Linked DNA regions of Bombyx mori. The protein of the gene in region 1 binds, or shares a complex with, the protein of each later gene. Links are inferred from orthologs where the notes say so. Each region holds a gene or a part of one and is shown in the gene's direction. Other genes may lie near its edges. The genes, in order: probable ATP-dependent RNA helicase DDX46 and splicing factor 3A subunit 3.

Region 1 (4,623 bases):
ATAGGCCTAACCAAGGAAATAGGTTTAAGTACATGGCTAATTTAATAAAACCAAACTTACGTTTTCATCAATTCAATAACTTGTTACTATTGTCGTGTTCAGAAGTAGTACATTATTCGAGTCAATAGGTTTAAATTAGCAAAATAAGAAATTTAAAAGCGTTTCATATTGTAAATGTACTTACATGCAGTTTGCCTCTGAGCTCTCGTTCATTACGCATTTTAACATAAATTCTCTCATCTAAGCTAAGCCTTATCAAATCCAAAGGTTCTTTTACGGTCATAACAGCTACCTAAAATAATGAAATAAAAATAAAAGGTATTGAAACAATTTCGATGTTTTTAAATTTTTAAATCAAACACTTACATTTTCAGTATCGTCTGCCATTTCTAGATATTGTTATGAAAATAGCTTGTTTTATGTCTTGTTAAAGTAGTCGCTATTTTTAAATTGTATTTTCAATGATGTCGGTTGAATGTATTAGGTTATCTTTTGGTTTTCGTGTTTCGATTTGTACACAAAACATCCATGAATAGTGTTGTCTCGGTACTAAACTCTCTCTATTTTCAAATAGTCGATGATTTTTTTAAAGGTTTCAATTATCGACTTTTTACGTTTTTTAATTTTACTGCTGCTTAAATCTTGAACTTGAACCACCTTTGTGGAAATTAAATTTAAGATGAACAGTGATATTCACGTTACTCGCAAGCCAATATCTGCATAGCTTAAAGTCGATATCAACCGCTAAAGGCTGATGGTATGAGTCGAGTAGTAAGCTGTTGGATCATTAGATATAGAGTGGGACGTAATATCCGAACCACATTTTTTTTAAATACGGAATCGACGTTTAGCAGAATTTGTAAGATGCGTAAAGCTCAGATAATTCTGTCGCGAAACGTTCGAGGTTTGAAGAGTAGGTATATCTGTGTAGCAGTATTTTGAGACTTTCGCCACATTTATCAAAGTAGATGGTTAGATTAGCGTGTGGTGGGCCAAGAGATACTACTGTTAGGTTTTCATCCCATCGGAAAGTCAATTCAGCTCGATTGTAAAATTTGCAACGAATAGGCTTAGACAGTATTGGTTAAAAAAATTATATGAGTTAATTTTCTTAATAAACCGATTTTTGTCATTCGATTTGCTTGGTTGCAAAATGTTATATTTTGAAGATATGAAAATTTTAATCCAGGTAAATTTAGAAACTCAATCTAGCAATCTTTATCAACCTATTAAAAAGTCAAGGTTTTTTTTGGCGGGAACGCGAGGAGTGAAGTTGTGTGATTTGTTTTATTTTGTCTATTTAGTGTTTCTTCAGGTTTAAATGTATAATAACGGTGGTTTATTAACTGTTTAATGTCTGTGAAAGTGCACAAATGTGGGTAAATGAAATGAAGTCGCTGGACATAACATCTCGGGATCTTCCAGAAGGTCCACTGAAAAAAACTCAGCAAATTACCATCATTTTACTGAAATTATATTTTATCCCTTAGCATCTCATCTTCTTTCATTTAAATTTCATCCCAGCTGATTAAAGTCTCATATTAATTGTCTTTATTTCATTCCACTCTATATTATCATTTTTTATAAAAATAAAAATATAAATTAAAAGAAGACACGACTTAAAGGTCTTGGTTACCAGGTCATAAAATCCCTAAAAATAAATAAATTAAAAAGTCAACTGTCAAATGTAGAATCCGTGGATGCAAGCGAGCGCTTTGTGATTTTGTTATGCGTACTTTTATCTCATAGCAATCGAACCAAATTTCACAGCTCATTTTGTTTCAAGAATCTTTTATTAGTATTAAGTAAGGCACCGTTGATTTAGGCATGAGAAAAATAAAACGTGTAAAAATCTCTTTATATTTGCTTTAAAAAATGGTTAGGAGTGGGTGAGTGTCGATGTTTGTAAACGAACTACTTGAATCATTAACCTGTAAACGTTCTTGAAGCTTATTCAATATGTGCTAGCGTTCGAAAGTTTTCACAATACAATTTTGTTTCTTTTAGGAGAGACCGTGATAGGGAAAGGGATCGACGTAGATCTCGAAGTCGTTCTGACACACCGGATCGTAAACGAAGGAGGTCAAGATCAAGAAGTCGTGATCGGGGCTCGAAATCTTCAAAGAGGAAGCGCAGTCGTAGCAGAGATCGTGACTCTAAACGAGACCGAAGCCGAGAACGGGATCGCAGTAGGGAAAGAGATCGTAGTCGTGAGCGAGATCGGGACAGAAAAAGGTAAACTTTGAGTAATTAATAACCTCAAAATAAAAAGTTAAATATTTTAATTTAAGTCACAAGACTCTTTTGTTAGCGTTAGTACAGTTTATAAAATTATATTTATTCAAATAATACATTTTGTTAAAATGTTTTATTAAAGCTAAATTGAGGCGTGTTGCTAATTTATCTAAGTTCATTCAGTGATAAAAGAGATGATAAAAGAAATGGATCTAGTAAATCATCGAGAAAGAAGTCACCGGAGAAGGAAAGGGAGAGATCAAAATCAAAGGAAAAGAGTAGCAAAGCTGATTCTTCTGAATATAACCCGGGCTCTGTTGACAAGGTTTGTTTGTTAAGTTGTTGCTTATTTTCACAATAACACAGTTGAAACAACTGCTGAAATGTTTATTAAAATTGTTGAGTTCTAAGATACAATCTGGATAAAAACTTAATTTGACTGATACCCAGTGGGCTTTGAATAACAGAGAAACATAGGTGGCAATCTGGTATAATAGTGTTGGAAGTGATTAGTGAAGAAATATTTATTGGGCTATAAAAGCTGCAAATTTGTCAATGTATTGGTTTTAATACATAACTTCACAGTTAAAGTAAAAAACTTGATTTTTTTTTATGCTTTCACATCATCTACTTTGCATTTGCTTATGTACAATTTAAGGCTACATATTTATAAATGTATATTGTATTATGTAATAAGGAGAGTCATGCATTGTTGCTAAATAAATGAGACCCAAAAAATCGAAATCATATACAACAGATAGGTACAGCGTAAATAAGAAAATATAAAATATCTGTAAATTGTATGTTTGTACTGTATTGTACTGTATGAATTAGCAAATGTTATAAAGAGTCTGATTAGGTAAGAGTTTGAGATGATGCAGAAGCAGTTTGGCATTATATTATATCAACATTCAACTTTTAACTGAATATTTAGAATTTACGTATCAAAAATACATAATAACTACAAACATACATGCAATGAAATCTCTTTGTCAATGGAGTGCTGCTAATGTCGTAAAGTGATAATTCTCATTTGATCTTAGATGGCCCAATAAAACTTAGCCACTAACACATACTACGATTAGTATCCTTGTTGAGACAGGCAAGCATCTGAGGTGTGGTGTTAGAGGCTTTAGGTAGTTCTTTCACAAGAGCTTAATATCATATGGCAATTCATTGCCTGGTGTAATAAGCAGCAGAAGCCAAAACTTACTATTCATTTTATTTGATTATTTATGTAGGAAGAAGAGCAAAACCGCTTGGAAGCTGAAATGCAAAAACGTCGTGAACGCATAGAGAGATGGAGGGCTGAACGTAAACGTAAAGAAATCGAATCCGCTAAAAAAGAAGTTCAAAAAGGAAGCATTGTTACTAATATACAAATACCGACATCAAAGAAATGGTCACTTGAAGATGACTCTGGTGATGAAGGTCAGTAAAACAAAACCTAATCTATTCATCATTTACCAAAATTTAAGATTCACACACACATGGAAAACTTATTGGCTAAAAATTAAACGTTTTTTTTTTCATAATCTTGCATTAATGTGTGAAGAAAGTGATTTTTCTGAATACCTCTACTCAATATTTTGTGTAAAAAGAAACACATCATATGTTAAAATAATCTAACAGCTTTGCCAGGTGAAGATGCGGAAGGAAAAGAAAAAAACAATATAGGAGAAAAGAAAGAAGAAGAAGATGAAATTGATCCTTTGGATGCGTACATGCAAGAAGTGCAACAAGTAAGTTAATAGAGTTATTTTATTTGAAAAAATTGAAGTCGTCAGGAAGACGAAAAAGATACGATGTCTGGTGTACTTGTATCAACCAATGTGACGATGTCGATGTTTAAATCACGCTGGCAATTTTTTGACATATTCGGTTATAACATGTTCACGAATAATGTCCCCGATGAAAGAATAGCATTGTGTATTAAAAATGAAACTAGTAATATTTTTTTAAATAAGATATGCTGTCATTCATGATTAGATTGTGTTCCAGCATACTCCCAATTTTTGTCACAAGGTTGCATGTTTCAGTTAGAGAGATAGGTAAAACAAAACCTTAACTTTGTGATCTCTATAGGAACCACTTAACACCTAGTATGTCATGCCTTCAGTTGCAATGCAAAAAAAAAATGAGTACTTGTTTATACTATATAATAATATACTGTGTAATTCTTTACTGTTCATTTGAAAAATAATTGGAAACTAAAATCGTTTTGTTTTGTAGGAAGTGCGTAAAGTCAATCAAATGGACCAAGCCAAAGGAATTATTAGTGTTCCAACAACAGGTGGCACTGGCATTGTAATTCTTACTGGCACTGCCAAAAAAAAGGTCACTGAGCAGAAAAATAAGGGTAAGTAACCATATATATAAATAGATGAG
Region 2 (3,823 bases), on another chromosome or scaffold:
TAGCCATGAGGAAAAGCTTAATGTGTATACAAGACAGGATAATACATTAAGTGTAGGCTTTCTTTGCCCTAAAAAGAAACTAACATAAGAAGGTGTTATTTTGATTGAATTCCATAGGTTCGCGACTATAATAAGTAGTACACGAGCATCAACTATTGAAAATGTAACGCGTCGTGCTGCAAGAGCTGCTGGTGAACGTCGCGACGAAAGCGGTGACGAAAGTGATGCTTCTGCAGCACCAGACCTTGATTCAGATGATGATGAAGTGCCATATAATCCTAAGAATTTGCCACTGGGATGGGATGGAAAGGTGAGTTTTAGATTATTATTTGCTAAAGTTGTGAAAAACAGTTCGAATGTAAACATTACTCATGTATTAGTAAATAACAGGCTGATGGGGCAAGACATCGCGTCTATTCATATCAAATTATGCAACTATGACTGGGGTTGAGGTTCAAATGTTCTGATTTGTTTCATGTTTTATAAATAAATATGCATTGAATACATATGCATGAACTTCTTTGAAACCTCATAATTATTAACTGCATAATTCTGCAACAGAATTAGAAAGTAAATATGCAGGCGAAATTTTATAAATACCTAGTCAGGTCATAAGTATTGTCACACAGTAAAAACTTTTATTTTAGAATGCTGGCCACAAAAAAGTTTATTGAATTCGAATTTCGATTTGTTCATGAAAATAAAAATGTATACTTTTAGAATTTTACTCATTTTTAAATATGGAGTGGACGCTTAAAGAAGACCGTGTTGCAGTTATTGCGTTGCATCGTTGCGGTTACGCGCCAATTCAAATTTTTAACATACTGAAAAATTTGAATATAACCAAAAGATTCGTTTATCGTACCATCAAACGATACAATGAAGACTCTAGTGTAGATGACAGGTCAAGAAGTGGTCGCCCTCGGTCTGTTAGGACTCCAGCAGTGATAAAAGCTGTGAAGGCGCGAATTCAAAGAAATCCCAAACGTAAGTAGAAACTGTTGGCCCTTCAGATGGGGTTAAGCAGAACCACGGTGAAAAGGGTGTTAAATGAAGACTTAGGGCTTCGGGCATTGGGAGGCCATGGCCAGGTTTTGTGACCTGGTAATGGCGTCCCGTGACGCTGAGGAGCGTGAAAGGGAGTGGGATCCCTCTTCAGCACCTCAGCGCAGAAGGCGGGATGGCCGGCGCGGGCGTGAAGCTCCCGCTCAGCCCCCGTAGGGACTATCAGGTGGCGGGTGCGGGGGCGCCCGGTACTCGACTGTCGGTCCGGTGGTGGAGCGGTGCAAGGTGGCTCCTGTGCGCCGCCCACGGTGTATCTCCCGAAATGACGTCCTTCGGGATTTTCCCGGATATGAAATCCCGTCTTATCATCAGGACGGATACCGGCGAAGGCAGACTTTCGGCGCGCACTGCGGTACCGTATGTCTGGTGTAGCCGGTGTGGTGGAGCTCGATGGGGTTTAGTCGGTAGTCGTTCTGCGGGGCAAGTGCTTCGCGCGCCTTTTTCAAGGCGTAGTCTCTTGCGAGAAATTCGGGGAGGTGGAGGACCTTCTCGTCCCCCTCTTCCTCTCAGGAGGCGCCGGAGTCCGACATAACCCGGTTCGTTACCCCCCCGGACCGGGTATCCGTAAATGGATTCCCCAGCGTTAAAAAAAAAAAAAAAAAAGGGCTTCGGGCATATCGAAGAAAAACAGGACATCGTTTGAATGCTCGTCTAATGGACCTGAGACTGAAGAGATGCCGCGCTTTGTTGAAGCGGTACGCAGGAAAAAAATATCGGGAAATTCTTTTTTCGGATGAAAAAATTTTTACCGTAGAAGAGAGCTACAACAAACAAAATGATAAGGTGTACGCACACAGTAGTGAAGAAGCGAGCAACCGTATTCCGCGTATCCAACGAGGTCATTTTCCATCCTCGCTCATGGTATGGTTGGGAGTTTCTTATTGGGGCTTAACAGAGGTACATTTTTGTGAGAAAAGTGTAAAAACGAATGCAGTTGTGTATCAAAATACAGTCCTGACGAACCTTGTGGAACCTGTTTCTCATACCATGTTCAATAACAGGCACTGGGTATTCCAACAAGATTCGGCGCCAGCTCATAGAGCGAAGAGCACACAAGACTGGCTGGCGGCGCGTGAAATCGACTTCATCCGGCACGAAGACTGGCCCTCCTCCAGTCCAGATTTGAATCCGTTAGATTACAAGATATGGCAACACTTGGAGGAAAAGGCGTGCTCAAAGCCTCATCCCAATTTGGAGTCACTCAAGACATCCTTGATTAAGGCAGCCGCCGATATTGACATGGACCTCGTTCGTGCTGCGATAGACGACTGGCCGCGCAGATTGAAGGCCTGTATTCAAAATCACGGAGGTCAATTTGAATAAACTTTAGTGTCATAAGAATCTATGTTTTGTTAAGTTCATTTTGGTATATGAATGGTTACATAATGAATAAATTGTTTCAATTATTTTACATTAAACATGTGACAGAATTTATGACCTGACTAGGTATGTATGTATACAAATAGACATTAATAAGATCGCATAAACGGTAGATGCTGAAATATTTTGGCCAAATGTAATTACAGTATAATTTCACTAATTCAGTACTGTTAAAAACTGTTAAAAACCAGAGGGTGCTGGATTAATGGAATGTTCGGTTAAATCTGGATTATAGAGAAAAAATCATTTTTTTTTTTTTTTATTGCCCCTGTAGGCAGATGAGCATACGGCCCACCTGATGGTGAGTGGTTACCGTCGCTCATGGACTTCAGCAATGCCAGGGGCAGAGCCAAGCTGCTGCCTACCGCTTAATACTCTCCACAAGCCTCGTTTGAAGAAGGACATGTCATAGCGCTCGGGAAACACCGTGGAGGGGAGCTCATTCCATAGCCGGATGGTACGTGGCAAAAAAGATCTCTGGAAACGCACTGCCTTGCTTAACAACCTCTTCTCGCATGTTTAGAAGAATTATAACAATACCTTTGGCAGAAATGACGCTTTCTTCTGCCCATGTCATGCAGGTATTGAAACAATTAAATGCTTCATCTGGTTTAACTCTTACAGTTGTATTTAAAGGTTTCTTCTTCTTGTACTACTTCGCATATTTCTACATCTGTCATAATTTGCTCTGTTTCTTCGATCCCTTCTTCACTCAACTCAACTTCAATCCTCTTTCTGATAGATTTTGTAATCAATCGGCAATAGATAGAATATCACTTCAGGATCTCATTCTCCTGTTTCTTCTGTTTCTGATGCATTACATACGCATAAGCGTAGAGGGGCGAGGGAGGCGTGGACGGAGAGTGCCAGATTATTGGACATGTCAGTCTAGTGAAGTGCCGGATCAGTGAGAATATACTGTAAAAGATTCCAAAACAAGATATAAATAATTTTTACATATTCCATAATAATAAATGTAAGAATGGTATTTCAGCCTATTCCATATTGGTTATACAAGTTACACGGTCTCAATATAAGCTACAATTGCGAAATTTGCGGGAACTATACATACAAGGGACCGAAAGCGTTTCAGAGACATTTTGCGGAGTGGAGACACGCTCACGGAATGCGATGTCTTGGAATACCGAATACAGCTCATTTTGCCAATGTCACACAAATTGAAGATGCCCTTGCTTGTAAGTTAACGTTCTTAATTTGTTTCACAACTTTTTGTACACATCAAATTTAGCTGTATTTCTTGCCTTCTCAACTGTACTAAGGCTTATTTCTACAATTCGGCATTTGCTTTTGATAAACTTCATCATTTAAGCACCTCCGAAAAACAACAGTGTTAAAATTTATTCCTATAGTCATTATA

Evidence for each region.
Region 2: probable ATP-dependent RNA helicase DDX46 (region 1) and splicing factor 3A subunit 3 share a complex: the UniProt entries of both Homo sapiens proteins name them as parts of the 17S U2 SnRNP complex. The link is inferred for Bombyx mori from reciprocal best matches to the Homo sapiens genes DDX46 and SF3A3.

The regions. Positions count from the first base shown.
Region 1 is NC_085109.1:10,027,409-10,032,031, forward strand, and holds the start of probable ATP-dependent RNA helicase DDX46, read left to right. Parts: upstream 1-1,663; 5' UTR 1,664-1,875; coding exon 1,876-1,889; intron 1,890-2,007; coding exon 2,008-2,235; intron 2,236-2,418; coding exon 2,419-2,560; intron 2,561-3,476; coding exon 3,477-3,666; intron 3,667-3,867; coding exon 3,868-3,977; intron 3,978-4,467; coding exon 4,468-4,594; intron 4,595-4,623. UniProt on the Homo sapiens protein: Component of the 17S U2 SnRNP complex of the spliceosome, a large ribonucleoprotein complex that removes introns from transcribed pre-mRNAs.
Region 2 is NC_085112.1:8,790,522-8,794,344, reverse strand, and holds part of splicing factor 3A subunit 3, read left to right. Parts: intron 1-117; coding exon 118-310; intron 311-3,439; coding exon 3,440-3,641; intron 3,642-3,823. UniProt on the Homo sapiens protein: Component of the 17S U2 SnRNP complex of the spliceosome, a large ribonucleoprotein complex that removes introns from transcribed pre-mRNAs.